Linked DNA regions of Caenorhabditis elegans. The protein of the gene in region 1 purifies or fractionates together with the protein of each later gene. This does not show direct contact. Each region holds a gene or a part of one and is shown on either strand. Other genes may lie near its edges.

Evidence for each region.
Region 2: the proteins of F07A11.5 (region 1) and zig-12 fractionate together in Caenorhabditis elegans (co-fractionation; one large-scale study listed by BioGRID). This does not show direct contact.
Region 3: the proteins of F07A11.5 (region 1) and pcca-1 fractionate together in Caenorhabditis elegans (co-fractionation; one large-scale study listed by BioGRID). This does not show direct contact.
Region 4: the proteins of F07A11.5 (region 1) and sec-24.1 fractionate together in Caenorhabditis elegans (co-fractionation; one large-scale study listed by BioGRID). This does not show direct contact.

Annotation. Positions count from the first base shown.
Region 1 is NC_003280.10:11,609,507-11,616,381, reverse strand, and holds F07A11.5 (Ribokinase), read right to left. Parts: upstream 4,083-6,875; 5' UTR 4,046-4,082; coding exon 3,987-4,045; intron 3,923-3,986; coding exon 3,663-3,922; intron 3,054-3,662; coding exon 2,797-3,053; intron 2,712-2,796; coding exon 2,600-2,711; intron 2,544-2,599; coding exon 2,467-2,543; intron 2,233-2,466; coding exon 2,053-2,232; 3' UTR 1,991-2,052; downstream 1-1,990. Other genes in the region: din-1 (Daf-12-interacting protein 1), read left to right, coding at 260-429, 482-586, 1,036-1,140; F07A11.4 (ubiquitinyl hydrolase 1), read right to left, coding at 5,076-5,124, 5,893-6,119, 6,165-6,286, 6,450-6,875.
Region 2 is NC_003284.9:8,761,670-8,768,576, reverse strand, and holds zig-12 (Ig-like domain-containing protein), read right to left. Parts: upstream 4,671-6,907; 5' UTR 4,669-4,670; coding exon 4,603-4,668; intron 4,557-4,602; coding exon 4,422-4,556; intron 3,641-4,421; coding exon 3,550-3,640; intron 3,503-3,549; coding exon 3,390-3,502; intron 3,245-3,389; exon of another isoform or gene 3,099-3,244; intron 2,716-3,098; coding exon 2,527-2,715; 3' UTR 2,297-2,526; downstream 1-2,296.
Region 3 is NC_003284.9:7,655,666-7,663,786, forward strand, and holds pcca-1 (Propionyl-CoA carboxylase alpha chain, mitochondrial), read right to left. Parts: upstream 5,322-8,121; 5' UTR 5,314-5,321; coding exon 5,237-5,313; intron 5,185-5,236; coding exon 5,090-5,184; intron 5,040-5,089; coding exon 4,840-5,039; intron 4,099-4,839; coding exon 3,448-4,098; intron 3,401-3,447; coding exon 3,113-3,400; intron 3,058-3,112; coding exon 2,353-3,057; intron 2,299-2,352; coding exon 2,140-2,298; 3' UTR 1,847-2,139; downstream 1-1,846. Other genes in the region: F27D9.12 (RING-type domain-containing protein), read right to left, coding at 751-866, 1,173-1,299; dhs-29 (NADP-retinol dehydrogenase), read right to left, coding at 6,331-6,433, 6,476-6,648, 6,741-6,909, 7,393-7,571, 7,617-7,704, 7,755-7,861. UniProt on the Caenorhabditis elegans protein: This is one of the 2 subunits of the biotin-dependent propionyl-CoA carboxylase (PCC), a mitochondrial enzyme involved in the catabolism of odd chain fatty acids, branched-chain amino acids isoleucine, threonine, methionine, and valine and other metabolites.
Region 4 is NC_003282.8:11,560,644-11,569,731, forward strand, and holds sec-24.1 (Protein transport protein Sec24C), read right to left. Parts: upstream 5,552-9,088; 5' UTR 5,549-5,551; coding exon 5,449-5,548; intron 5,406-5,448; coding exon 5,238-5,405; intron 5,194-5,237; coding exon 5,086-5,193; intron 5,043-5,085; coding exon 4,096-5,042; intron 4,045-4,095; coding exon 3,790-4,044; intron 3,738-3,789; coding exon 3,506-3,737; intron 3,456-3,505; coding exon 2,995-3,455; intron 2,945-2,994; coding exon 2,063-2,944; intron 2,017-2,062; coding exon 1,789-2,016; 3' UTR 1,343-1,788; downstream 1-1,342. Other genes in the region: pold-2 (putative DNA polymerase delta small subunit), read right to left, coding at 497-930, 976-1,065, 1,111-1,189.

The DNA.
Region 1 (6,875 bases):
CTGGGAGGTCGCGGTGCACTTTTTGTTTTTGTCATCGTCGTTCCCCATCTGACCGACTTCCGTCTTTTCCCTTTTTCGTTCGTTTCGCCCCCTCCCAACTGATTCATGTTTTGTACGGAAAGCTTCTCCTTCTTTCATACTCTCGTTTGCATGAACATCGGAAGTGGAGGGGAATGAAAATAGGAGATTAAACACATGGAAAAATAAGGAAGGAAAATGGAAAAACACGGCATTTTTTAATCAAAATGCTAAATTTCAGACATCTACCGAATTCTCACGAATCCCGAGTACGCTTGCTGTCTTGCACTTTCGTCGGTCAACAATATCGAGAACCTGAAGGAAAATGATACCAATTTGAAATCCCACTTCATCGACTACCTTATCAATAAGAAGATCGCTGGGATTTCGAGTCTTGGAGAAGTCGAGACGGTAAGTTTTGGAAATTTTATTGGACTGGAATCAATAACTGTTGTCATTTCAGAAGTTCAAAAGTGCCCGGGTCCACGTTTTCGCACCAGGCGAGATTGTCAACCGATATCTGTCCGAGTTGGCCACCTCGTTGCATGACTACCTTCAGAACACTGACGTGAGTTTTTTTGAAATTTTTTTTGGCCTTGTGGTGTTCCACTAGGATTTGATTCTAGCCACTTTATGGATTTTGGGAGTGTGAGATTTGTGCGATGCATTTCCAAAATCCCATTTTTATCTTTGTTGGGTCGAAATGTTTTTCAGAAAATTTACATAGAAATATAGAGAAATATTTTTTCTTTTTGAGTATAATTTTTCTTATATAATTAAATATTTTTAAAGTTGCTCAAAAGAGCCTCAAATATCGATGAGCCAATCAACACATTTCCTGGGCTCAGTTTCGACTTTGAGGCGGTTTTGAAGCAACTTCACGAAATTTTCAATTGAAAGTAAAATTATTTTCAAAAAGTACAAATATTTGTCTATTTTTGTATAGAAATTTCCAAAGAATAACCCAGATTTCTACCTGACTTTGCCTAATTCTTACCTAATTTTTCCAATTTTCAGACCCGCTACCTGCTGATAGTGTTCACCAACGACAAGGCTGACCCGAACATGACTGGGCCACCATCTGTAGCATCACTCGCCGTTCCACCAGTAAGCAGTACCTAATCAGGAAGAGCCTTATTTCCTCTGCCAAATTCAACCAACCCAAAATCTACTGTCGATTCTCAACCTATGTGCAATCTTGTCAAAAAAAAGTATATATCTATTTCTCTCGCCCGTTTATTTATTCCGCTATTCATATAACATGTATGTTTTACCCGATTGACTCAGACTTGTGTTTTAATTTGAATTATGGGTTTTAATTTTTTTAACTTAACAAAAAGACAAATTCGGTACCATTAAAGTTTTATCTCTTCCCCCGCCACTGTATATTTATTCCCCACCCAACCTTATTTATCTACTTTAACGGACTATTCCCCCGGTTTATATCTCATTTTCTTCATTCCGCCGGAAGGATTTCTGTCTTTTTGGCACACCGCTTTCTCAATTTTCCTCCCTACTAGACACTAATTCAAGTCTCTCATGAAAATAGCGGATCAGTTTTCGTAAAATGTTAGTTTAAGACCTCCCCCCCCCCCCCCGTCCCATCTACTATTTAAACATTTTCCAATTTGTCGTCATTCTTATATTATTTAATTCATCATTCTTGTCTTTCGTCTGTATTTTTATCGGAGAAGCTCTCGACTCGCTCGAAAAACGAAAACAATGAAATAATTGAATTTACGCAAATTTCTTTATACACAATGACTATGCGATTCTGGAAATTAAATTTTCAGCATTTAAATTTGTTGAAAAGGAAAATAACAAAACGGGAAAGAAATTCATTATAGGAGAATTGTGTTATTTTGGAACAAACATTAACATTAAACGGTAAATTTCCAAATTTTCAAAAAATTCAGGCTCCCTGCAATGTTCAACAGCTAATTAAAACATATTGAAAGTATAAAATGTGTTTGGAAAGCAGAATTTTTATTTCAGACCTAATCACAAATTTCTTGAAAGACACTGTAATAAGTTTTAAGGCAAGAATTCCGGGTATTGTTGGCGAATCTCGTCGAGCTTCCAATAACTCGATTGAGTTCCATGACGTGTCACAGAAAGTGCGGCCAAGTTGGCAGCCGAGCGTATTGATGCGGAAATCGGATGGCCGGCAACCAAATGAGCAGCCAGTGAACCACAGAAACAGTCACCGGCTCCCTGGAATTTTCAATTAATATTATACCTATATGCAGATTGATCTTGTTCATATTTCCTCCAGGTTACTGTAGAAAACTTGCGCCAAAAATTTTGATTTTGATAAAGTAGTTTTTTAGAGGCCCATGCACAACATTTTTAACTAAAAATAACTAGAAAGGCAACTAATTTCTTTCGTTTCAAAAAATATATTGTGGTGGGACCCAAGCTCGGACAAAATTTATTTTTTAGTATTACCGTAGTATCAACTGCATCGACTTTGATCACGGCGGTATGCTCAACATCATCGACTCCTTTGGATGCAAGCAGGACACCTACAATTCAAAAAAAAATTTATTGTTTCAAATTATCCCAGTGTAAGTCCCCCAACCTTTGCCTCCGAGAGTTATGATCGCATGTTGAGGTCCCATTTTGAGCATTGCACGTGCTGCTTTTTCAGCGTCTTTCACGTTGTTTTGAGCGATTCCAGTGATGAATTCCGCCTGGAAAGTTGAAATTTAATTTATTTTTTGTTCAGAACAATATTTGGAAAAGTTCAATTGATTAGAAAAAATAACATAGACCTACTTCATTCTCATTGGTACAAATAATATCAACCAGCTCGAGAATCGTCTTATCCATATTCGGATCCCCAGGAGCTGGATTTAAAAAAGTGGTGACTCCGTGACTTCTAGCAATTTCGAAGGCTCTTCTATTTCCTTTTTCGTCAATTTCTCCCTGACAAATGACCATTTTCGAGCCAGCAATTTTTGAAGAGTTCGCATCAGCGATTTCAGGCGACATTTCAAGATTTGCACCCAGCGTCACCACAATGTTGTTTTCGCCTGGAAATTTTGGAATTTGGATTTGAAATAATGTAAGTCTCATGTAAATCTGAAAATCAAGAAAATTTAATTTTTCGAATTTACCATATTTTAATAGTTTTACACCTCAATTGCACTGTAACAAATCGAACTTTTCATGTCTGTAGATGCTATTTGAAATATTTTTTCTACATATGTCAAATTCCAATTTTCTACTAGATGCATCACATTTTGAGCTCACTTTTTGAGTCTAAAAATTTGTAATTCTCCTTACCCTCTCTCCCCCACTTCTTACTATTAGTTCCAGTTCAAAGTTATTTGTTTGTCGTCGTCACTGAAGGTTCTTCGAAATAATAAGTTATTTATATTACGTCACCAAAAAAATGGGGGAAAAAGAAAGAGAAAATAGATTCTATGAACGTAGACAAATCGTTTTCAGAACAAAATTAGAATTTCAGTGATCTACGAGCTATAAGAACAGATATAGCTATAGGAACTTATTCTTAACCCGGTTGGCAATTTTTTCTTAGAGGTAGGGTCTTGCTACAAATATTGAATGTTTCTTCAAGACATTCAAGAGGCCACACATAATCTTAAATATTTTTTTCCCGCCAAAACTCGGATACAAACCTTCTTTGTTAACAGTGATAGTCGCTGTGGCGGTATGTGTCTTTTTGGTCCGTCCCACACAACTTGTATCAACTCCATTGCTGCTCAAATCCTTAATATTAGAATCTCCGAACATATCTTCTCCAACCATTCCAATCATTGAGACATTGATCCCTAGGCGAGCCGCAGCAACTGCCTGATTGGCGCCTTTTCCGCCGGAGCCCAGCTTGAAATTGTGACCGCGCACCGACTCTCCAGGTCTTGGGAAACTATCTGTGTAGCTGGAAATTGGTAGTTTATAATGTAAAATTGTTTAATGAAAGATAAAATTTAAAAAAAACAGACCTGACAAGATCCTGAACGATACTTCCGAAAACCACGATTTTCTGGTTTTCACTTGACATAACGATATGCTTTTTTTTTAATTTAGAAAATTCTGAAATAAAAAAATAAAAATGCGATTGATAGCACGTGTCAAATAATCAAAGAAACACAAAAAAGAGAAGAGAGAAAGAGAATCAGGTGGTTAGCTTGTTGAGGGCAAAAACTGTTTGCCAACAAATTTGGCAGCTGGTCAGTTATGGTAAGAGAATAAGACACACGTAGTATTATTTTCCAGAAATTTTTTAGGTGGCTAAAAATGCCTGCCTGCCTCATGCCTACACTCTACTGAAAGGAAACATGTTAGTCCTCTTGAAAGCGAAGCAAATAATTTGTAGGCAGGCACGTAGGCCCGTTCGCATGAAGAACCTACAATGATGACAGACCCTATAATTCCTAGAAAAAGCTTTCAAAAACCAAAAGCAAATTTTAAAAAAAGCAAAAAAATTTTTTTTGAAGGTTCCCAAACAGATAATGTTCCCATTTTAAACCATTCAGGTCAGATAAAATTGTGATCAAAAATTAATTGTTTTGGTTATTTTTTTGATCTTTAAAAATTTTCACTGACAGTGATTTTATGTGAAAAAAAAACAAAACAATGGCGTCATATATCACGGGCCAAAATTCAGAAATCAGGCGATAGGCAGGCACGTAGGCCTGCAAAATGGCACGTGAATGGCCTCAAAATGCATTGAACTAAAAACAGATAATATTTGGAACTCGTATCTTATCTTTTCCCCTTCTTATCAATTTTCATCGGCTTATCTTGATTTCTTTTTTCTTTTTTTCCTTTGCAGTCAAGGACAGAATTTTAATTTTGAAATTAATTTATTCTCTTCGGGGAACAAAAAAAAAACTGAAACCGGTCTCCGTGGATTCAAACAATTGTTATTTTAATAATCAATAAAATTAGGAAAATTAATGAAAAATATATAAATATTAAATCAAAGATGTAATATCTAAAAACATGGTAACAGGTTTTGAAAGAAATGAAGACAATGAACAACACGTGGAAAAAAAAATTGATGAATTTATGAAAATCTAGAAAAATGACTAAATTTTGACTTCTTCTGGAGCTCCAGGATCACACGAGTAGTGGCGTCTGAAATAAAAAATTGTTCATTGATCGGAATAGGTTACTTTGATAAAAACCCAGCGCGGTGATCATTAAAAATTAAATCATTAAAAAAAAAAAAAAACTCATCAGTTTGAAAATGAACAACTAGTTCCAAAATAAAAAATATTATGGAAAAACTTTCAAAACCTTTTTTGAAATTTTTATTCCAGTGAAAAAGTTCTGAACATTCAGTTTTCAAGCATTACCTTGTAAGTCGGTCAAAATATGTTATCCTGGTTTTTTTTTACTAATTTCGTACTAATTGTTTTTTTCAAATTCTAGGAGCTCGAACCTGCAGGATATCTTAAATAACCACAGAAATTCACAATTTTTTGGCGATTTATGAAATCTTTGCCTAAAAGTTTTGAAAAAACAAGCAAATCACGGTTTCTTATTATTGAAATCCAAAATTTTTATTTAATTTTTTAAAGAAAAATTTAAGAAAAAAATTTTCAATTTGCGTGACCTCGGTCGTGGAACTTATTATTTAGATTTGGAATATATAAATTGTCCAAATCTGAAGCTGAATCAATCAGTTCTCACTTTTATCCAATGCTTACAAATTCAATTATCAATTTGCTTATTACAATAGTGCTTTCTAATCAACTATCATACTATCAATACCGTGCTGGAAACTATCTCAATTATTTGAACGTCTTCGTCTCAAAAAAAGCCGTTCTCAGGATTTATCGATTTTCTTGAATTTCAGGAAATTCTTTCCCAGATTTATAGTTCTTGGGGTTTCCAACTCACTTGAATATACTCCTCGTCACATTCTGATCTCTCATTTTATAGAAGAGTAAGTAAGCATCCTCCGTTTGTAAAGTGCTCGTAGACTGCCGAGCCACCGTCGAATCATCGAAATTCCTCCATTCGATTTTCGTTTTCGACGAATCAAAATCGGCGAGTCGACCCATACTAATATAATGACCGAAGTAACTGTTTCCACTATGGCATACTACTCCCGTTAGATCATACATCTGAAATTTCAATATTTTTTGAAAATAATTACTGTGAATAGTTACCGTTGAATTAGGATGTGGAGATGTTTCTGCTAAAAACGGAGACATATCAAGACTCTCCAATGGATACTCAACTGATCGGGTGTCCTTGCTTCGACGAGCCATTGATGATTGATAAGTGAATGCTGAAAGTCCATACAATAGATTTTTTGAAAAATCGAGAGATTTTTTGAAACTTATGCTTACCTGCCTGCATGCCTACAAAAATTACCTACACCTATTTTTTTAATCAGGTAGGTTCATACGGAGTAATCCCTTCTTATAAGTAAGTTTCCAGAATTATCTCACCTGTATAGACGAATCTCTTCAACTGAATGATCAGAACAGGCGGCAACCTATACAACTGAAGCTTCTTGGTAGCCTCCACATTCTCTTTGCACGTCGAGCAATACCAACTCTCTTCTGGTTTCAACCTCTCAGTTTCCGAGAACAAGTCAAGCATTTGTGTGAGATGTGGATTCGTCTCCGAATTGTTACTCTTCACATAACCATTCATGTTCCTGGAGTTCATTTGTCTACTCTTCTCCACATCTACATCAATATCTTTACGATTTTCAATTGTAATATATGGCTTTCCATTTCTCTGATTGATCCAGTTAACTGACACATATCCTCCTGACTCCAAACTCTGACATGCTTCATCATCGCTAATACTGTGACTGCCAAAGGAATCATTTTGGCCGGATAGTTTCCTAATTTCAAACATTTTCTGAT
Region 2 (6,907 bases), on another chromosome or scaffold:
CTTGCCATCCTTTTAGGTGGAACTGGTCCCACCCTTTTCCTTTTTTCTAGTAGGAATCTATATGATGGGATAAGATTGAAAGTTCGTTTGATCTTTTATTAATAGATTCTAGGTTCTGAATTTTACAAAACAATGCAAATGCAAAATGCAAAAAACCAGACATGGGAAAAACGATGATGGAGATTTCCCAAAATGAATTATTTATGGATGTGATAAATAAAAACTTTTGAAGAAGTGGAATATTTGGAGTATGGTTTCTAAATAATTATGATGTCATCTTGCATACTCGCAGAGTTTGCAGTGAAAAATCTAACAAAACCTCTGACAAAACCAAACTTGGTAAAGAAAACGGCTCACAGCAACAAAAAAAAACAATTCCGGAAAAGTGAGAAAAAACCCACGAAAGCTTCTATCTTCTTGTTGTGAACGCCTTCGGACCTTCAGAATACACTGATAACATTGTCTTTTTTTCGATTTAGCCTGCCTCCTTCACACTCCTTTTTCCTTTTTATTCCTTCCGGTCGCTTACTTTTCCCATGGGTAACATTGCTACTGAAACTGGTTTTGGGACTTGTTGTTTTCTTTTGCCTCTCAATATTGCAGTTGAATTCGGAATAGTTGTTTGAGGTCAAGAAGTCGGTTTTCTTTTTTTGGGTTGTGGGTTAACGCATATATCAGCGAAGTTTGAAATAGCAGTGAGGGCTTTGGTTCAAAATTAAGAAAAATTATTTTTTTTGTAAATAAATTTACAATTTTTGAAAAATTTCAATTTATTAAGATAACTCTTCAAATTGTTACATAAGTTTGGCATGCTGAGGGAAAAATATAACACTCTTTTTACCTTAAAATGTTTAACAGGTCATTTAACCGCAAAACAATAATGTCTTACTAAAGTAAATTATATATATTTTGAAATTATTTTTTACTGTGTAATCTATGTTGAACCGTTCGCCGTAAAATCAAATAATTTTCAATTCAAAACAGGCAGCCGGTTACCAATTTTTTTTTGATTTTCGGGGTTATGTCTTATTAGATTGTTTTCAACTTGATATAAAATTAGATATTAAAATTTGCACACGTAGATTGCAGATTCAAAAGCGGCATTCTCAAAGTGATAGCAAAAATGTTGTTTCAACTGAAGTAGTCTAAATTGGACTAGGTAAACTTTTGCCCGTTGGATGATTTTCAATATTATTTTGTTCTATGGTTTTATTTTGTTAGATAAACACTAGAGTTTACAAAAATTGTTGAAAAACTAAAATGATAAAGCACTATCTACTATCTGCATCACTGAATTACAGCAAAGACACGTATATACAGTGCTGGCCAAAAAGATATCCACTTTCTGTTTTTTGATGATTTCGATATTTTTTCCATTGAGCATAACTCCAAAACTAGGAAAGCTATCAAAAAAAGTTTCAACTGGTAAAATGTAGCTCGTGATCAGGCCTATGTATTTTTACATGATTAAATTATTCACCCAAAACATGGCAAGTGATAAAGCGGCCGACATCTCGTGAGTCCGCTTTTGATGATGATTACTAAAACGACTGTAACTCGAGAAACATATTTTTAATGGAAGGTTTTTAGAAAGTAACACGATGTTTATATAATTTTTTATTGTTTGAACATACTAACTTCGTCCTGAAACCTCCATTGAAAAAGACAAGAGAGTTTAAAGAAGAGAAGTGTAGAGTAATCTCGAGCTCATGTCTCAAAAATAGTAGATTTTTTTTTCTGAATTCTGTTTATTGGTTAATATGTAGTTCAAATATAATAACAACATCAGTTCTTCACAAAAATTGTCGGAAAAAGATTTTCAATCCAAGAAACCTGATTTTTGAACAAAGCCTCTAAACAGTGTCTAATGAGACACTAGTTTCAGCGCACACATTTTTTTAAATGGAGGTTTTAGGACAAAGTTGATATGTTCAAACAATGAAAAATTAAATAAACATTTTGTTACTTTCTCAAACCTTTCATTAAAAATATGTTTCTTGAGTTACAGTCGTTTTAGTAATCATCGTCAAAAACGGACTCACGAGATGCCCGCCGCTTTATTACTTGCCATGTGATGGATGAATAATTGCAACATGTAAAAATACATAGGCCTGATCACGAGCTACATTTTACCAGTTGAAAATTTTTTGGTACCTTTCCTAGTTTTGAAGTTATGCCCATTGGAAAAAATATCGAAATCGTCAAAAAACTGAAAGTGGATATCTTTTTGGCCAGCACTGTATATATATATATTGATTTCTGTACTTGCAAGTATATCTTCTCATGTTCAATGTGTCAAGAAACTTTTTTATTTTGGCTGATACCAATTCATGTGCATGGGACACAAAGTTCAAATTACTTTGAGAAGACAAATACTACAAAACGTTAAAAGTTACAGAAGAAAAAAAAGCGGAAAGTGCAACTACCAAAATCGAAAATCAGAAGCAACGATTAACATGAAAATTGATTTGAGGCTTTATGAATTGAATTGTATGACAATTAAAAACCAAGGGAAAATTTATAAAATTAATCGAAAACCAAGTTCAACGCTTGTTGGTTTTGTCCTTCGGAGTTCTTGACAACGCACTTGTATTTTGCTTCATCGTCTTTTTGTGGTCCGGTGATTTCGAGTAGGAATTGGAATCCGTCTTTGTCCTTATCGTCCTTCTTTACAACAGCCTTAACTCGGTCAGTGAATTTCACTGGTTTTTCATCCTGGAAGAATGAATTAGTGAAAAATATGAAATTTACTTTTTTTCTGTTAATTTAAAAATGATTTATACTAGACGGTCGTTCAGAAAATTTTTTCCAAAACAAGTTTGTTAATTTTATTTATCAAAGCATTCCAAAAAAACTCAAACTTGGTTCCAAGCATGCCCATTGAAATGTTCATTTTTCATTTTTCATTTTACATTTTGAACCAGACAACAAGTGAATTCTTTTAATGTTTATTGAACCTTTTTGCTTTTAGTTTTTTGCGCCATTTCTCTTTTTTGTTCACTACTCAAAACTTCGCTCTATCTGCTCCATGAGCCTCAAGTATCTGTCTCGGCACAACCCAAAGGCGCGGACGAGGAGGCCTCCCAACTTTTGTCTTATTTCCACACTTCTTTACATTACCCATCTCTGCCTTTCTATTTTGAATCCCCTTGAGAAAGCCGGAGAGGTTCACTTCGACTAACATAAATGTGGAAATTAGGACAACTACATTTTTTTCTTCGGTGGAAGAAAGAAGACAAAAGAAAAAAGACACGTCAGTCAGTCGATCCATCTTCGAGAAGCTCTATTCTGGTTCAACCAAAATGAATTTAGCAATGCCAAGAAAAATACCGAATAAGAATTCAGGGAAATTTTTTCCCCTAAGATTCAAAGTAAGGTGACAGACATACCTTGAACCATTCGGCCTTCATCTCAAGGTGGGACTTTGCGCGGACCTTAATCACAATCACATTTCCGTTATCTCTTTGAACAATATGTGGCTTGTCATGGAAGTCTGGGGCGTCTGAAATTGTATGTGTAAGCTTTTAGTGTTTTTGATAATGAGCTCACTTCCTGCTGCGACTGTGAAGTTAGAGCTGTTCTCTCCATCGGCGTTGGCAAAGACGGCTTTGTATTCTCCGGCAAGTGGTTTATCAAAGTCCTATAAAATGATGATTTAAAGAAGCAAAAAGGTGTTTTGTTAACAGTTAAAATTCATAATTCCGATTATTTTTTATCACAGGTAAAGCGGGATTGCTCAGAAGCGGCCCAATGGCAGCTGATAAAATCGTTTTTGTGTTCGGAGTTTTTTTTTAAGCTTAGAAAAACGAAATTTGCGACCGGGGCGGTCGACAATCGGCTTATTGGCTGACATGGAGACAGACCACCGGCGGACATCAGTTTTTTTTTTCAGTCTGCGGCATTTTGGACCGTTGGACAGTTTTTCAGTTGCTTTTCCGTTTTACCAGTAATGTAGCTTATGTGGTTTGTTTTTCAACTACTACTATCATTAGTAACTTTTACAATTATAGTTCCTAATGTGAAGTTCAAACTGCACGGCTTTTTTTAATGTTTACTGAATTTTCAAAATTACAGTTCACGTTATTGATGTATATTTAATGTGAGATACGAAAAAAATAAAGAATATAGTAAAGTAAAAAGTATTTTGTAATGATGAATGTACTTAGAGTTTCCTTTTGATCAAATGCTTAACCGTTGTTATGTTTTGCTTTTCACCTCCCGACCGACAGCTAATTCTGCTTTTGCCGCACTTTTGCCCAAAATCTACGGTAAGTCCATCAAAAACCAATTAAACGCAGATCAAAACACATACAGACAACAGTTGCAGAGCGCATCGCAGCAATGGGACCATAAAATGACTCGTGAGTCGTTTTATGTGATTTATACGAGATGCTTTGGCAAACAGTTGCTCTCAAACTGACCTTGATTTCGGCAACAAACTTGGTGCGGTTGCCTCCTTCGTCACTGTTTGAGAACTTCAGGAACTCGTTCTCCTCAAGCTCGTCTGGTCCGAAAAACCACTGAATCTTAGAAACATCAGCTCCAGTGACGATGACCTGGAAGAAAACTTAGCAATTTTCAAAAGGAAAAGCAAATTCGTACCTCAAGGAACACCGACCCGTTCTCTGATCTAATTTTTGGTTCTCCGTAAATTGATGGTGGTGCCATATCTGAAAAAATTAAAATCTGTAGTTTTATGATTGAATACGAAGCCATGAATATACGGAATCTCGGTAACCTAAAGTTTTACACACTAAAAGAAAAGAGGGGCGTGTTTTCTGATCAGGTAAGAGCGCCGCCAAGAGCGAATGAAAAATGATCTGCCAATGTGTTTTTACCATCATTTATCCATTGAGTTCACAGGAAAATAGGAGACGAAAGACTTCTTGAACGGTAGTTCGTAGTGGCTTTTGGGTGGGAGAACTAAGCAAACAATGTTTTATGTTCTCAATGAACAAGCACAAGTAGGGGAATGTTGGAGAAGATCTAGACAAGATGTGTCAACAGTATTTTGAGGGAAAACACTTTATAATGCTGAGAAAAAAAAGAAAAAGGCAAAAAGACCAATGGTTGAAGGTTGAAAAATGCTTCGAAAATTGAATCACTGGTTTTTTGTACATATAACAGTTGATTTTAGTCATGTTTTTTGTGCATTGAGATCAGCACTCAAGAATAAATTTAAAAAAAACAAATTTGAGAGGAGAACAAAAAATATGAAGAGGAGAAAAATGATGTCTCGCTTGTAGTTTCCAACTGACAAAAGTGCCAAGAGGTCGCTGTTAGAGTCCCATTTTCCCTTTATCTTTTTCTCTGTTTCACGAAGGTGTTGTAATTTCTACTTCTTCTGCTGCTAAGCTCTTTCTCCGCCTCCTGGTCGCTAGTCGGAGAACGAAACGACGAAAAAAGATGGGAAAGATGAATGTCCCGGGAGCCCCCCGGAGCTGCCCACAGATTTTGCGGAGGAGGAGAAAGGTGGATGGGATGGCACTTCCCACCTAACTCTTCATTTCTCGTCGACGTTGAAGATCCCAAAATTTTTACAAAGTTCTCAATGAAGAGCTGCAGGGCGAAGGCAAAGTTGACGAGACACGCTTCACAAAGGATATTTGAGAGTATTTTGAAATCGGAATCAATGAGCAATTTGGGAACGGATGGAAATGACGTCGCTGGTTGTTGTATGAGTATTAAGGATTTCAAAAGTTGTTAAATGAAAATGCCACTTTGAAACTGAGCAACTCGAAAGCAATGGATTTATAGACCTGTCACAATAGGACGATCATGATGTGCACATTTTTGCAAATCGCGGCGTGCGCATTGTGCATGGTTTCATTGATGATATCTGCATTGTACGTTCATAATGTCAATTCTTCGCGGTTCTTTATGACCACATTGCAATTCAACTATGTAGGTTTAGCATTGGGTCAAAGAACAATTTAGTTGATTGGCCTCATCTTACAATAAGCTGCATAATTTCCTATTTAGAAAGAAACCAGAGAATAAGCTACCAGACTTGGCCGAATAGAGCAATGTGGAAAACGATATAGGACACTTAAATGCCCCAGTCGCGTTAAAAATTAAAATATATTGCCTTTCTAGGTCTCAAAATGAGATGAATCCCAAAAATGGTAAAAACATAAGCTGACAATTTTTCAGTTAAAAACAAATTATTTTATAATAAACTTATATGAACCAAACTGTTTTCATTCTTACTTTTTTCTATCCAACACCTTGTAAGTTTTCCATATTGTAATTCAGCAGTGGAACTCCACATTCAATCTGAAAATCATGTATCAAAAGATCAAATATTATGTTTCAGAGAGTTCAAAGAGTAAGAGTGATATTGTATAAAGATGCCGAGAGTGTGTGTAATTTGAAACTTCGGTACGTCAGGGAATACCTTTCTCAAATTATTTTTCAAGTGTGTAATTCAAATATTTTCGCATGAAAAATATTTTGTAGGAGCAAGAGATACAAAAGATAGAGAAAAGAATCACTTTGTTGTGGTTTGCTTTATTTTTCTTTCTTCAATTTCAGATCGAAATTTTGTAGATTGCACTTTGTTTAAGTTGCTTCCAGTCACTGGGTAGAAGCCGATCTCATTTTTCCCATATCTTCAACACTTCAAAGGTACCATTGGAAAATAATTGGATGACGCACTCGTCTGAGACATCTGGATTTCTAATGGCTTACACTTTCTCATCCTTCATTTTTTGTTTCAACGTTAAACTACATCGAATTTGAGATCTGAAGCAGAAAATCATAAAAATTAATGATGGAATTTCAAATAAACTTCGAAATTTAAGTATTGTTTGTTATCTTCAATGTGAGCAAAAAATTCAATTTAAACAATTCAATTAAAAATATAATTCTTATTCAAAAAAAAACATCAGTAAATATAACAATGTAA
Region 3 (8,121 bases), on another chromosome or scaffold:
CTCAAGAATCTTTTCCGCGTGATGCCGCGCGTGAAAGAAAAGGGGAGACCTCCTTGCTCATTGACCACTGCTCAGAAATGTTGACGCCAGTTTGGCTTCGTTCCGCTGAACAGAATGAAAACGAAAGGCGATGGAAGGGTTGTGCAATAATCAATGTTTATTAAATTGCGTCGGCGAATTTCAACGCAGGCCCCCTTTGACCACAACATTTTCTTTTCAGCTGCCAGGAAAATGGATCAGCTGATGGAGAATAATGAATGATGAAAAGTTTCTTAGGGCTTACAAATTCCATAATGATAAAATGTTGAAATGTAAATAGTTAAAAAAAAACAAACATAAACAAATTATTACGTAATTTTTGATGTTAAAGTCTGAAATATATAGCTGAAAGTTTACAAAGGTGGTACCTTCGTTCATGGTACCGCCTCCTACAACAACAAAAATCCTTTTGGGCTCCGACAATAGTTTTATGTTTCTGACTAGTACGAAACAACTTGAATGGAACAGACGTTCACGAGAACTTCAATTTTGGGAGTTCTGATTTAGTAATGCAAGGATAATATGTGAAAGAAGAACTCCCTACGATTTTGAATACGATATTTAGCTCAAAATAGTTTCAACAAAGTCCACCGTTTAGCTTTTCTCTTCAAGTATAGAATTCCACGTGACAGAAAAATCTGTATTATTGTATTAAAACAGTGATACACAGAAGATGCACATATAAGAACACATTTTCATTTTCAATTACAGTCAATTCATTCTATTAGCTTCAATATTCACCCTGCTCCTCAAATCTTTGAAGATGCGCTCAATCTCGTATATTGTCACGTTGCAAATCAAACAATTGGTTCGTCGAGCAATTAATACTGAAAACAAAACAAGCATTCATCATATAAAACAATTTGGGTTAGAGTGTAGAACATACTGAGTCATGACAAAACCCTTTTCATTTGTTGATCCTATTTTCATCTTTAAAAAAATAACAAGACTAAATACTATAATACAACAAACTTCTCTTTTTAATTTGAAATCAATTTAACACATATTGGAAAGGGACGGGTCTCACCCACTTTTTCGAAAAAGTTAGATTTAAACTGTTTAAAACTTCAACTAGCACTTCGTTTTATTGATAATCAAGCTTCAACTCAAAAAAAAATCAAATCTATACTTACAATAAAAACATGCAACACAATTGTGTTCGCATGATGGTGGGCTCCTCCGTTCATGCATAAATTCAAGGCAGGCTGTGCAACAGTTCTCTTCCCCGTCTTCGTATCTACTTATACCGATACTAGACATCTTACAGATCTGAAAGTGCTACAAGTAAGTTTTATTAAAATATTGACATTATTTATTTTCTCAACTAGAAGTTAACAGAATTTAACAATATCAGTGTGACACTACTCACACGAAACCAAAAAACGTGAGTTAAAATGAGATTGAAAAGAACAGAAAACGGCAAAAAAAACTGGAAGAAAAATTCTTCTTTTTCTTCTTCCCATCATTTTCTGTTTCATCTTCTCGTCTCAACTCGTCTTTTTGTCAATTTTCTTTCAGAATAATCAATTGGCACTGCTATTCAATATTTTGAAATTGAGATACATGAAAGAAGAACATAAAAAAGAGAAATCTGAAATTTTTAAAACAGATTTGCAAACTGACAAGTTTTTTCACAACGCTTATTTCCGAGCTTCAATTATGGACTATGGTAAAATGTTTAGTTTACACAAGCTATTTCACAAAAAATAGAAAATTTAATCAACAAAACATCTGCACTTATGTTATGTAGAAACAGAATAGATATATAATTTTCTAATTGAAAAGTTCAAAAAATGAGCAAATGCTTTTTTTTCTTCATATAACAACCTTTTTGCAATGCCTTCTACAATATTTATTCACTACATAATACTTGGGGCAACAAAACAGGGTGGTGGCTGAGAAATACGTCCGTGATGATTGGAATACAACAGGTGAGGGTAATGGCATCAAAAATAAAATATAAATATGGCTTGAAATTTGAGAAACTGCGAATGAAATTATCAATCTCCATACCAGATAGTGGCGGCTTTGAATTGTACAAAATTAGGAAAAAAACGGTAATTAAAACAACAAAAAAAATTCAGGTTCAGTGAGAATAATCTACTCGAGCTCAACGAGCACCTCTCCCTCGTCGACTGTGGCTCCAACCTTCACATTGACGGCCTTGACGCGTCCGGTCTTTCCAGCATGAAGACTGTTCTGCATCTTCATAGCCTCCATGACAACTAACTCTTGTCCCTCGGAAACCATATCTCCTGGCTGTAAATTGAATCAGTTTTAGCACATCTAATGGTAGTGATAAAATAATGTTACCTTAACGTTGACGTTCTTGATTGCTCCTGGCATTGGTGAGAGCACAACTGTGGACAAGTCAACCTTGGCCTTCTCCTTCATGTACTGCAAGTACTTGACGGCCTGCTCTGGAAGCACCTTGACCTTGAATGGAGTTCCCTTGTAAAGAACGGTGATCTCTCCGGCGCGCTTGCCAACAATTTGGGTGGTGATGTGCTCTCCATCGACTTCAATTGAGTTGACTGGATGAGACAAGTTGAGATCTCCACTGATAGTCACAGTCTTTCCACCAATACGAACTTGGGCCTTGTTGGCGCTTCCTTCGACAAATTCGACTTCAACAGCGTGCTCGGTTGGCCTCTCACCCTCCTTCACTGGCAGAGAAGACACGAACTTGTAGGTCTTCGAGAAGGAAGCCACATGAGTGCTACGTTGTTTGTTCTGGTTCAAGAATTGATTGGCACGAGCAAGTTTACGAGCGTTGAGAGCCGAGGCAAAGGCAATGACAACGTCTTGCTCTTTTGGTGAGAGGCTGGTTCCCTGGAAGCCTTCTGGGTACACTTCTGGAAGATATTTGGTGGTAATGTCTCCAGTACGGAATCTCTTCTCTTGGACAATATCACGAAGAAGTGGAATGTTGTGAGTGACTCCACGAATGACGTAGTTGTCGAGAGCCTCTTGCATGCGGTTCAGAGCCTGTTCACGGTTGTCTCCGTGCGTAACGAGCTGAAATTACAAAGTAAGTCACTTGAAATTATCTAAATGCTAATTTATCCTTTACCTTGCAGATAAGTGGATCGTAGTAGATAGAGATTTCCGATCCCTCACGGATTCCAGAGTCGCAACGAACTCCGTCGACGTGTTTTGGCTCAACATATCTGGAGAGACGTCCGACTGATGGAAGACCGAATCCCTTGTATGGATCCTCGGCGTAGACACGAGACTCGAAAGCCCATCCGTTGAGTGGCACTTGCTCTTGGGTGATTGGAAGTGGGTGACCGTAGGAAACGCGAAGCATCTGTTGGACAATATCGATTCCAGTGATGCACTCGGTAATTGGATGCTCGACCTGTGAGTATTTAAAAATTAAACATTTAGGCCATACTGAGATATTACCTGAAGACGAGTGTTCATCTCCAAGAAGTAGAAGTTTCTCTGAGAATCAACGAGGAATTCGACGGTTCCAGCAGAGTCATAACCGACAGCCTTGGCGAGCTGAACGGCCTGTTCTCCCATTTTGCGTCTCATCTCTGGTGGCACAAAGCTGCTTGGAGCCTCTTCGATAACCTTCTGGTTTCTTCTCTGAATGGAGCATTCACGCTCGTTGAGCCACAAAGCGTTTCCATGCTTGTCGCAGAGCACCTGCATCTCAATGTGCCGTGGGTTGTCAATGAACTTCTCAACGAGCATTCGATCATCTCCGAAAGAAGAAGCTGCTTCTTGCTTGGACAAACGGTATCCTTCACGAGCTTGCTTGTCGTTCCAGGCAACTCGCATTCCTTTTCCACCACCACCGGCAGAAGCCTTGATCATGACTGGGTATCCAATGTCGCGGGAGACTTTCACGCACATATCCTCATCAGCAATTTCTCCGTCATATCCTGGAATCATGCTGACACGGGCTGCGGTAGCGATTTTCTTTGAATGAATCTTGTCTCCCATATCAAGAATAGCCTTAGAGTTTGGTCCGATGAACTTGGCTCCAGCCTTCTCAAGCTCGGCGGCAAACTTGGTGTTCTCGGAAAGGAATCCATATCCTGGATGAACCTGCAAATATATGTTTTCAACGTTTTTAGCAGTTCTGTTTGAAAAACATAACAGAAGACACTTGCAATCTATCTCTCGTCATTTGACTTTGACTATTTGAAAATGAAACACGCGAGATGCTAGAGACTGGAAAGAGACCACTTGGTCACTTGTCACAGAATTTTTGTTTTGTTGTGTTTCGTAGTGAAAGTAGGTGAATATCACGTGCATATTACAAGTAACTGGTTTCTAATATATTACGGTAAATCTTAAGCTGCTACACAGCCAAAAGCTCTCGCTCGGGTTGTCAAACTGTTTGACCCTAGCTTGTCCTCTGAAAAATGCGGTAATTCGTGCTTTTCATAATTTGACCTCACCACAGTTTTCAACAGGCCATAAGAGGGAACTCTAGAGCTTCATCACTTCAAACCCTCATATCTCAGCCAGGTGATATGAGCATGAAAAAATTGAGCATTATCAAAATGTAGGGAATGTTTTATTTCACATTTTTTCAGTCAGCAACTTTTTTAAGCTATTCTCTCCGTTTGAAGTTAAGCGCGAACGCTCTGACTTCTTGAACAGTAGTAGTTGATTTGGAGCGGTGTTCTGAACTTTTGCAAAAACTCTATTCTCTGTCGGATGTCTGGGTAATATGTTTGTGCTACTGTGCATGTAGATTCATGCCACAGAATTTACATTCTCCTCTGATATTTGATTTTTGCGGTTTATCCTTCCATTACATAGACACGTTAGAATTCTTACCGCTTGAGCACCGGTGTCCTCGACAGCTTGCAAGATGCGGTCAGCACGTAGGTAGGATTTGGCAGTTGGAGCTTCTCCAACACATACAGCCTCATCGGCCATCTTTACGTGAAGCGAGTTGCTGTCGACATCTGAGTGAACGGCCACTGTCTTGATTCCCATAGCTCTGGCAGTTTTGATCACGCGACACGCAATCTCTCCTGTAAAATAGACGATTAAATCTAAGATTCTTTTAGATGCTTGAGATTACCTCTATTGGCAATCAAAATCTTGTCGAACTTTGGCTCATTGTAATCGATTCCTACAGTAGTGTAAATCTCCTTTCCCTCACGTTCATCAAGTGGTCTGAAATTGAACCTATTGATCTCAAAACCGAATACAACTTTCAGAAACTTACACTCCTGGTCTGGCAACAGCAGCAGTTGCCAATCCACGATTGGCCACAGCGCGGATACTGGATGCAGCACGGAGCATGGTTCAACCTAAAAACAATGATTTTCATGATAAAATGAACAACGACATCAGCAGTTCACAAAAGAAAAAAGTAAGATGATGGAGAAAAACAGTTTCGTGTATAACTTCGATGGAGAAAGATAAGGACGACCGATTTGATTTGGTCAGTTAAGTGATAAACAGCGATGCCTTGAAAACTCTCTTTATATTGATTATGAAGGAAAACTTCGACTAGTAGAAAAAATAAGAAAAACATGCAGAAATGGCAACTGAGCAACGAAGTAAATAGCCTGGCCAGAAAAGAGAAAAGCAAGAAGTGCGGTGCCCTTGTCCCGCAACAAGATTTTCACAAAAGTTGTCTATCTCTCTTTTCTGATGGACCCAAAGCGCAGTTGCCCCGCTCTCTCTCTTTGCCCATTTCTTGCGATTTTGCACGTATTCGTCCTCTGAACACACACACGCAGAGAAACCGAGAAAATCACCGGGATAGGTTGAGAGTTGGAAAGACGACCTCACAATGTTACAATGAAGAACTTCGAATATAATTCATAGTCCAGTCTGCACGTTTTCTATAATTTTTGAACCGAGAGTCCTACAAAAACTAATAATTTTACAAAAAACGTGTATGCGTGAAACGGAAAATCTAAAGACTCACACAGTAAGTACACTCAATACACAAAAAAAAACGGCAAAATCACCAAAAACAGGGAAGAAAAAAGCCGACCTTCTCTGGCAACAGCGAAGGCAAGAATGACCTGCTCATTGACCACTACATGATCAATAAAACAACAAAAAACAGTCCAATAATGCGCGGGGTTGTCCAAGATATCTCACACAGCAACCTCAACGGAGCGCGTTTGCAGTGATCTTCTCTGCGTCTTTGCACACACTGGCCTTTCTCTCGACATGTTGTTTATTTGAGAATGTTTCGTTGAGTTTCTTCATTTTATTTGATAATAAATGGTCGTTCATTGCATTGGCAAAAAAAAACAAAATTAATACATTTTAGGAACTATCAGACACATTTTCAACTACTAGTCAATTATTCTTCCTCTGCTTGGCTTCGTATCGACTGAGAATAGAGAGTGACGGGAAACCAAGAATAAACGTTTGGACAACCCATTTTGCGGTAGAAGCAAAACTGAAAATACAATTTGTTATAAAATCAACTGAAAAAGTTCACCTGATATTGGCTTTATGGCAGAGATAAAGAGCGTAAAGAGCTTCACCGGCGTGTGCTACAAGGGCGAAAAGGTTGGTTAAAAGAGCAACAAATGGATACTCAGTTCCAATCTTATGGACGAGAGATCCAATTAATGGAATATTAAGTGCTGCTGCTGGATGGGCGTAAGAAATCTAAAAATCAAAGATATAGATCGAAGTGGAAGCTTTGAAATATCTATTTTTATCAAACATAGTTTTTTTTCACTTGAAACCTTAAAACTTACGTAGTTGATAGCCAGAGCTGGAACAATGAGGAGCCACCAGAAGAGTTGTGGAGTTTTGTAATAGTCCGACATTTCAATAAGTGTCAGTTTGCAAAATGATGGATCTGAAGCGGAATACTTAACACCCAAATAATTACGAAGCGACCGGCACACTTGAAGAGAGCAGAAACTGAAATAAAAAATTAGATTTTATCATGTTATCATTAGTTGGCTATATTCTACATAGTGTACGAGAATCAAAAAGTAAGTGGAGATGAATAGTTGGTTTCTTTTTTTTTTGATTCTCTCAAACGATAGAAGAAGGGGTGTCTTCGTGTAATAGAGGAGATACTATCTGAATCAATAAGGACACCAATGGTGACCTCAATAATAGAGCGTGTAAAGACAAACTAGACGCAGACAGAAAAACAATTCGGGCAGCTCTTTTTGCGAATACGAAAAGTTGTACAGTTCTCAAAAAAATAATAATAAGACGCGAAAACAGGGCATTGATTTTTAATTTTTCGCCATTTTAATAAGTAGCACATGAATATTGACACTTAAAAAGTACTTTAATTATTTTTAAATATGCCGATTTCATCTACAATTCAAAACAAATGTTCTTAATAAAAATTCACCATGGAAACCAAAATAACGAAACCGAGAAACTTACTTTTTCACAAAAGGGATGAGTGTGATGTACGAGGGAACAAAAGCGTGCACTTTTTCTTTCAAAATAGAATCTACCATTCTTTTCGAGCAAGACCGAATGCTCATGAACGGGAACCATGTACATGTAGGTCTCATATTATTTTCCAAAATCATTGGGGTTCTTGCAAAATATGGGTAGAGCTGAAAACGAGAATATCTCTAGCCAATAATTTAGCAACAACCAACCGTAGTTGTTTTGATACCCTCTAATCCGCGATCTCTGAGCTCCATTTGTAAGGATTCCATAGCTCCGCGAACCGCAAATTTGCTAGTGCTGAAGTAACTGTTAAAGTTTAAAACAAAAACTTTGGAACATTAAATTACCAGTAAGAAAGTCCCATCGTTTCACCAGACCACCCAGCAATTGAGCAAACGCAAACAATGTGTCCGTCGTTCTTGGTTTCCATTTTTGGGAGGAAAGCTCGAATTGTCTGATACGATAAAAATTAAAAATAGAAAACACGTGGTACTAATTCAGTGTCCGTACCAAATTTTATAAAAAACCAAACTTCGACTCCAAACATGTTCTGATACGTAAATGTTTTTCAACGAGTACAAAGAATAATATCTTGATTTGTTTATTGAAGTATGTTTTGAAACACAAATAAAGTTCAATTAAACTCATTTGGTCTGTCGAAAATATATATTTTTTTTGTTTTTCAATTTTTTAAGTTCTCAAAAAAAATTTTTT
Region 4 (9,088 bases), on another chromosome or scaffold:
CTGAACATTTTTCAGGGAGACTTTTTTCCAGATCAAAGTGGTCCTCTGCTGCTAAATTTTTGTAGGGGCCTATTTAAAAGATGCTCTTTCAAATGGCATAGATTTCATTCAGAAGTCCGGGATTAAGTGGAAATACTTAGATTAAAATATCCGAGAAAAGGTGTAATTTGGTTGTTTTTCGATTTAAATTAGACAAAAAAACAGAAAACAAAAGATTATGCGCCTTTAAAGATTACTGTAGTTCCGAACTTCTGTAGATTTTCTTCGATTTTTCATCCGTTTCTTTGAAATTTATTGAAAAACATGTGAAAATGTTTTTCAAATTTTGACGAATTAATGAAAAATCTGCAACAACGAGGAGTTGGGAACTACAGTACTCTTTAAAGGCGCACTCTTTTGTATTAACAAAAATCGGTCGCTTCGAGATCGTGTACCGTAGTTTTGGAGCACAATTTTAAAGTTGGAATAGTATTCAAGTTACAGAATTAATACTCACATCGTCTTCCAAATCTCCAGTTAGATCGAGTCCACTGACGAAAGCGATAGTCCCGTCGACAGCCACTTTCTTTGGAACTTTTACAGATGGCCAAACCAAACGATTCACATGAAATACTCCTTCTTTTCCTAATTTTCCAAGAACTCCAACACAACAACCAGTTGCACACTCATCCATTGAAATATTTCCTTCCAGACGTACTGTCTGTTTATCTGATTCCAATTCGATTCGATCTTCAATGCTTCCAGCGTATCTTTTCACTTCGTCTTCTTCGGCATCTTCTTCATAATCATCATAAGCCACTTTATCCTCGTTGAGCAACGATTTCAAAATTGATGGTCTTGCAGCTATTCTCTTTACAATAACGCCGACCACGAAGATTTCCTCGTCTTGTTTAGCATCGCTCAATTGTGAATGCGTGAATTTTCCCTTGCCTGAAGATAAAAATTAAGGTTTATTAGTAATATTATAATTCTAACCAATTTCACGTTCTGCATTTTCCAAAATACGAGGTTTCAGTTCCTTCAAGCGAGCTTCGTAGACTTCAAAGTACTGTCTAGTGAACGCACCTGAAAGAAAATAACTTTTTAAAGCTTAGAGCAAAATATAAATACCTTTTTTATCTTTTTCAGTGAGAATGTATCGATCTGAGACATTCTTATAGTTTAGGATGTTGGACCAAGCGGTTTCCATTCTTAAAATAAAGAAAAAAATCAATTCAAGAAGGCAAATTTGTCAATGTTGAAATTTCGCGGCAAATTGCGTTAGAGCGCGTTAACATTACACCGAAGTGAATTTCAAAAATATAATATTCACAAAGTCAACATATTCGATTCTCAAATGTTTAATCAAAAACATTTTATTTTCATAAGACACCATCAAATTAAACACATTCGATCCCATTTCAAATCACAATAAATTATATGGACGGGGTAATAGGGGATATTTTACAAAAAAAGGAACAATAAATAGAAATCTCTAAAAGTCGCGAGAGCAACTGGAAAAGAATAAATTAGGAATCTGGGAAAAAGCAGATAAAACAAATTCTATTTTTGCACTGATAAGGTGCTAGGAAAGCTAATATCTTAATTTTTACAAACCATGCTCCATAATATTAAAAGAAAATAGTACGGCGAGAGGGAAGGAAATGAATGTGTACAAAGAAACCGGTACAAAATATTAATTCTTCCAACATTTCTAATCACAAGATTTGCTTTGGCGTGATCAAAATAATATGAAGGAAGAACAAAGGGAACAATCAAGAGAAGCAATTCTATCACAGTATCAACGACTTAGGAAATGAGATCGCGGATTTTGCGATGGATATCCACAAGGTAATCAACGTATGACATATTAGCAGGACCAGCCTTGTCTTCCACTAAAAATTTCTTCATCCATGGCTCAAGGCCGCTTTTTTCCACGACAACGAACGTTTTTCGCTCTCGGATCCCACGTGGCAAAAGTTGAATTGCACGACGAAGAGCACGTGAATGACCATTGTCTTTTTCCGGAATTGTTCCCTGAAAAATGTAATTGACTAATTGAACGTAGCAATTGATAACTTACACTCTCGGTATCAATTTGATTTGTAGCACCAACACCAAACACGTCTTGAACCCATGTCTGGGGGCATGCAGAGCCAACCCAGACAAACAGAATAACACCGTTATCAATAATATAGGCTTTCGAATTTTCCAGGAACTCAGAACTCGCTCTAACAGGTTTTGGAAGATCCTTCATTTCTTCAGTATCATTGATTTGTAGATCAGAGATTGGCATAACTCTTGGATAAATAAGAGGCATGACATTTTCAGTTCGTAGCCCACGGATCAATTCCATCTGCCACACTTTGTCGTCGACTGTCATTTCACTTCCTCCACTGATCGCATCATTTTTCAAAATAGAGTTCACATAGAGCGGCATCAATTTCAGAGATTCAGGAAGAATCAGTTGTCCAAGTGGGGCACCTTCACTACACTTCTCTCGATAGGTCGCTAGGAATTGTGCACAACGAGAAGAAAGTGATTCTCTCATTTCTGAGCTTCCCTTGTCACGATTCAATTGAACAGCTTGCTTCAACATGAATGCTGTCAATGCTTCCGGATCAGCAAGTCGGTAAACTTGGTTGTAATCAGCAGTAACTGGAAGGCATAAGTTCAAAATTCGCAAACGGCGCTGTCCAGTCATCGACGTATACAGTACAGCGGTTTGAATGAAGGAAGCTGGATCTTTCAGACTATCATCATGTTTGATTTCTGTGATGAATGCTTTGCTTTCATCCAATGTAGCCAATTCCAAATCCGTTGAGTTTTCCATGTAAAAGGAGCCAGTAAAAGTGATAGGACGAATTCCTGTAGACGTTCTTACTCTTGCCATGCAGTCGAATGCAATTTTCTTAGAAACGTGTCGTTCCAACTCATTCAACATGCGAACACCGTCTTTATCGGCCTGAAATAAAAATAAAATTAATAAAATTATTGGTTTTTCTTTAAATTTACCGAGAAATACTGAAATTTGAAAATAGATCCTCCCGTAACTGCAGAAAGCTGACCAATTGTGGCAACATCAATGAAAGCATTTGGGAAGAGGAATAAATCGACAGTAACTCCTGACTTGACACATTGCTCTCCCAACTTCGTGTATGAATCTTCTTGTGGAACCAGTGCATTCTTTTCTTTATCTGTCCCGAGAAGAGATCGATCATTTTTGGATTTCAGCTTTCCCGGTGCATCATATGTTGGTAGAACAGTTGAAAACAGAATCACTTTTCCTGCTCTGTCGGCACACTTCAAAGCGTCAAGACCGGCTTGTACGACGGGTTGAAGAATGGTTTCGGTGGTTTTCGACTGCGAAAAGAGTTTAGGAATTTCAGCCAATGCGGCACGAAGTCCAGGAAGTGCCTCGTTGTAAGGGAGAAGAAGTCCATCGACCATAGGAACAAATGGCTCTTGAACATCAGCTAAAAACAGTACATATTTAGACAAATTTTTATAAGTTTATCAAACTTACACATTACGAGCATTTTTGGAGATGCCGACGAAATGTCAAAGAAATGAACCGCCTGATCGAATGTAGCCAATCCTATACGCATAGACGACTCGAGCTGTCCAGATTCTCTTGGCAAATTTCGAAGTACTTTCTCCAGATTTTGACAAAGAATTGGAAGCATTCCGTTTGAAATAGCATTGTAGGATACATCAATCATAAATATGAAGGCCGGTTCTTTTGGCGCGATTCCATTCTAAAAATGTCACTTAGAATTTTTGAAAATTGCGATTTTTTTAATTACGTACCTTGCAGTATTGTTTTGTAGCTACGAGATCATACGCTCCAAGACAGAGTTCTGGACGCATTTCAATATCAGTTCTTCTGCCTGTATGATCGAGATGGGCGAAATAAGCATCTTCGACAGAAGTTCGAGCATGGCAAAATGGACAACGGAAGGAGCGTCCACCATCTTGGAATTCCATAAACGGACAAATGTATGCCTTACAACGCTGGCAACGAATCGGTCCTTGTGGTCCCAGATCGACGACTGGTGGTTCTTTCTGAAATTGAAAATAATTGATTATTCATTTTTGAAAAATTAAAAAAAAAACCTCATATTCAGTCAGAGATGCGAATGGCGAAATGACAACGGCGAGCGGAATCTGCGATGCTTTCAAAATGTCATTAGTCTGTGGAGCTGTGTAGAGGGTTGATCTCATAAATTTGGGGTTGCAGTTTCCTTGATCTTGAGCGAAAGAATTTGTAGAAACAAGTGGCGGCAATTCAGCGTTCGGATATCCAGTTGGGAAGATCCCGCTACGAGTCGACGAATCATCATCAATAACTTGAACAGCACTTGGCATCATATTAGGATCAAGACGTTGTTGTCGTTGCTGTGGTGGGCCGCCGGGGTATCCACCTTGCATTCCCGGCATACCTGGACCTCCTGAGGGATATCCGCCGGGACCTCCTGGGCCTGGAGCTCCTGGAGCGAATGATCCTGGCATTCCTGGTCCTCCTGGGCCTGGGGCTCCCGGGGGAAATGATCCCGGCATTCCTGGTCCTCCTTGTCCTGGAGGGAATGCTCCTGGCATCCCTGGTGCAACTGGAGCTGAGGCTCCCGGAGGAAATGCTCTTGGCATGCCTGGGCCTTGTGGAATATCTGCTGGGCCAGAGGGATATGATCCTGGAACTTGTGGACCGGGTGGAAACGAGCCCGCTGTGGGTTGTCCTGGTGGAAATCCTCCTGTGCCAGGTGGGATGAACGAATTGGGCGCTTGAGGCACTTGTGGAGCACCTGGGTAAGCGCTAGGAGCAGAAGATGGTCCACCTGGGTAGCCTTGAACATTTTGTGAAGTGGGTGCTCCAGCTTGGAACGAACTTGGAGAGCCGCCTGCCTGTGGAAAACCAGGGATTTGTGGTCGAAGCGGAGTGGGTTGATGGATCTGATGTGGTTGTGGCGGCAGATGAGCTCCTTGGTTCATTTGCGGAATTCCCGGAGTCGGAGCAGGCGCTTGTTGCATTGCTTGAAGTGGACCTGCAGGTGTGGCACTAGGAGCTAAAATAGAAGTTTTAGCTTTGCCTCTATAAACACTATTTACCTTGAACACTTTGAGGTACAGCGGCGAACTGTTGAGGAGTTTGCTGTCTCTGTACTTGTTGCAATTGCTGTGGTGGAGCTCCGGGATATCCTGCTGGCTGGTACGGATCTTAAAATTAAACTTAACGGATTAGCGAAAAAAAAGCAACTCACTTGGGGGTTGTGCTGACGGAGTTGATCTAGCTCCAATAGACATATTATTCACAGATTGTGCCAAGTGAGACGAATTTCCATTTAAGCCTCCATTTTGATACTGTCCATTTGGTTGCTGATGGGGTGGAGGAAATCCACCTGGGACTTGAGCTGGCTTTTGCGGCGCTGCTAAAACAATTGTTGTATTATGCAAATGTTCATATAAACTCACCTGGAGGGGGAAATCCGTTTGACTGAAACTGCGGCTGTTGGTTAAATTGCTGTTGAGGATATCCGGGCATTTGCCCGTTTGGTGGCGGCTGATATGACATCCTGGAACAAGTATAAAGATTATTTTATATTTTTCAAAATAAAAAAGCTAGAAATCGAGCTAGAAATTAATTAAATCCCGAAAAGAACGTTGATTTTGCTGTAAAGTTCCATGTCACAGCGCGATCCACCGTGTACGCAAACGTCGCGGTGGGCAAATCGCTGCGAGACCCAGCGTGCTGCGTCTCTTCAGGCAACAGCTGTCTCTCTTCATTTCGGCACTTTTTGAATTTTAATTTTTTGTTTTGTTGTTTTTTTTTCTTTTTTCTTTGTTTCCGTAAATGGAAATGTTGATAATTATTTAGATTACACCTAGGCGATTAAAAATTACTATTTGAATCAGGATTCTGTAGGTTTTGAATAGAATATTACCCGCTAGTACTGCTTGTTCAGTTTAATTCGGGAAATCCTTCTAAACTCCAACTAGATGTGATAATAGACCTTATTAATAATATCGATGCACGTTTTTGTGTGCTCAAAATTACAAAAATTTGGCTAAACACATTTATATTCAAAGTAAGGTTTCAAAAAAAAAAAATTTCCTCACGATATTCATTAATGAGGTTCTTATTATTTATGCTAATTGTGGTATAGATCGCCAGCTGTTTCTCAATCCCTTTCTCGTTTTCCGTATTTCGTATTCAAACCGCACCGCCCTTCTCTGTTTTTCTGGATCTCACCGTCCATTACTGGCAACAATAGGAAAGAGTTTTCTTTTATTCTGACCTCTTCCCTCCCTATTCAGTATGTTTGTACAGTTTCCATTTACATTAGTCACTCGCTCACTTTTTGACTTTTTTTTTGCAATCTTTCGGCCCACTCAAACCCTCAAGAAAATGTATCAGTTTCAACTTTGTTCCTATAAATATTGATATCAGGGTGTCTACACGTTTCACTGTTTTTTTGTATCCCGGAACATTAGTAACACAAATGACCCGATTCCAATGGCAATTAGGCGCTTCGAATCCTTTCACCGTCTGCCACTTATGGTCTCAAGGTTAAGTTATTATTGTTACTGTCAGGTACTACCCATCGGATAAAAAGACGATTGAACATCCCTCACGAATGTTTAATTTCGAACTCTATTGAATATACTTGTAAGAAATATTATTTTGTGCTTATAGTTTTTTCAAAAAATGCTTTTAAGCTTCAGTTTGACAAATAAATTCGGCTTCGTTAGCTGAATTTCCCTTGCCCTTTCACTTTTGATCAATTAGTGCAGAACGACGGATGGTTTAAATTTTACGATTCCCTAAAGACTTCATTTCCCAGGCACGATGCTAAAATAATGTAATTGTGTATCAGAAGCGAAGTGAAATCGGTAGAGAACACTTGCGTCAGGTGTCACATATCCTTTTTTGGTCCTTTTCCTTCGTTCTATTCACGTCCATTAGGTATTTATTACTTTATTAGAGCTTGTTATGACGAATGAGCCGCGGATAAACAATGCATGTTCTTTTACTTCTTTTGAGTGTGTGCCGCCCGCATCCGCCGCTCAACACATCCATTATGATGCTAATAAGTTTTATCCTTATTTTGTCGGTCATGAATTATACAAATCCGCATTTATTTTACTTACCCGATTTTTAATGACAATTTTGAGTTATGAACTTGAAAGCATTGAAATTATTTTGATCAATTTGTGGGTTTTATTTATTATTTAAATTTCAAACCCAGTATCGTTATACTGAATACGACTCGTAAAATATCATAGCATTTTTCTAATTTTTAAAATAGGTTTTTTAATCAGAGAATTTTATTGACCTAGTTTCGACATTTCCGGCTGAATTAATTGAGTTTTTGTTTTATAAATTGAAGCACAATTTATCAGTTTTTTCGCAATATTTAGAAATATTCTATTCATTTTTACTGATATATTCAGTAAATCGAGACAACACTGCTCTCAAGTTTCTCGATATTTTACAGTGACACATGGAGTTAAAGTATAAAATACTGTAGGATCAGATGTAATCGCATCATCATGAAATCCGCTTTTGAATCCCTTAGCCTCTTCAGAAGGACACTCGAAACTAATTTGGTTTTGACCCGATTCACATCGTTCTTTTATTCGTTTACTATTACTATTAGAATACCGTCCATCATCCGCTCCCTACATGTTTTCATATTGTCTCCTTCGACATTTATAATGTTTTTATTCATATGTTTTCAGTCTATTCTTTCTTTCTTTCTTTATTTCAACCTGTATTAAAGAGCATCCACGTCATCGTCTCCCCCTTTCTCTGCGTTTCCACTACTTGACCTAGTCTCTCGATTATCGCTGACAATCTCGAATTTCATCACAACATCTTCTCTTCTTCGACGCTCACCAGTTGTGGCTAGTCGATAGGCACCGGATCTCCATGTCCTTCTGCCGGTCACGCTTGACTTCTCAGCCCTCCACCATGTTCATGGATTCAGTGATGGGAATTGGAATAGCTTCATAGATTTTCTTTCCGGACCGGTCTTTTTTGGAGATTCTTCTTCATTCGGGAAGAACATGTGTCTAACCACCTACGTCTCTCTAGTCTTGACCGCTCTATCGCTCCAATCCGTGTTTACAGACCTTGGAAAGGCTCGGCGGAGCGCGCACGCACCTCTAGTCGTCGAATGCGCTTGTTAATTACGGCAAACATACGTTTCACACTTTATTTTTCTCTTTCTCGACGCACATTTCGAATTTCTATATGGTATTGCAAAATGCAAATAAATATATAGACTGTACTGTATTGCCTATCTCGCATTTTTCATGTTCTTTTCGTTTCCCATAAGAGTACATTAGCCGTGTAAGGAGGATTAGTGTAGGGATATTACGACGGCCACTACGAGAAGGTGCCAATTGGAACCTTGTTCTTCCCAAGTGGACGAGACAATGAGACCGATGAACGTCATCATTACATAACATTCTTATTCCTTCTTCATTGGAATACACTTTCTTTAATTTTAAATATTTATGTACTCATGAGACTATATAATCCATTCTGAGCTTATTAATTCTAAAATTTTTATATAAAAAATATTCCCAGTGCGCTATTCATTTCTTTATGTTGTCAGAAAAAAGTTATTCTTGTCTCTTGTGTCCGGCAGTGTCCGGCAGCGCCCTTGTTTGTCGGAAAGAGAAAACTAAAATAAAAGTTTTCCTCTCTTTTTCAAGAAGCCCAAGGCGTTTTTCACTTTCAATCGTTCCTTTCCTGCTTCGTCTTCCAAAAAAAAGCATGAATTTTTTGGAATAGCCGAAAGGCTTTAGAGACCGAGTCAAGATTGATGGCATCCTTTTGCCAGTCAGCTCCAAAACCAATATCCGTTATTTGGGATGTTTTTCTTCATTTCTCATTCATCAGGTATATGTTAGGTGCCGATTGAATGTTGTCGTGGAAGAGGAATATGATGTTGATGGACAATAAAGATAACATTGTCCTGGTCTTCCCCTCTCCTGTTGCCTCATAGTAATACTTTTACATAATCTCGGATGAATAAACATTTGTCCGTTCCATTTATGTTTTCTTCTTCTTCTTCTCGAAAATAGATTCGTTTCTATTGAAAGG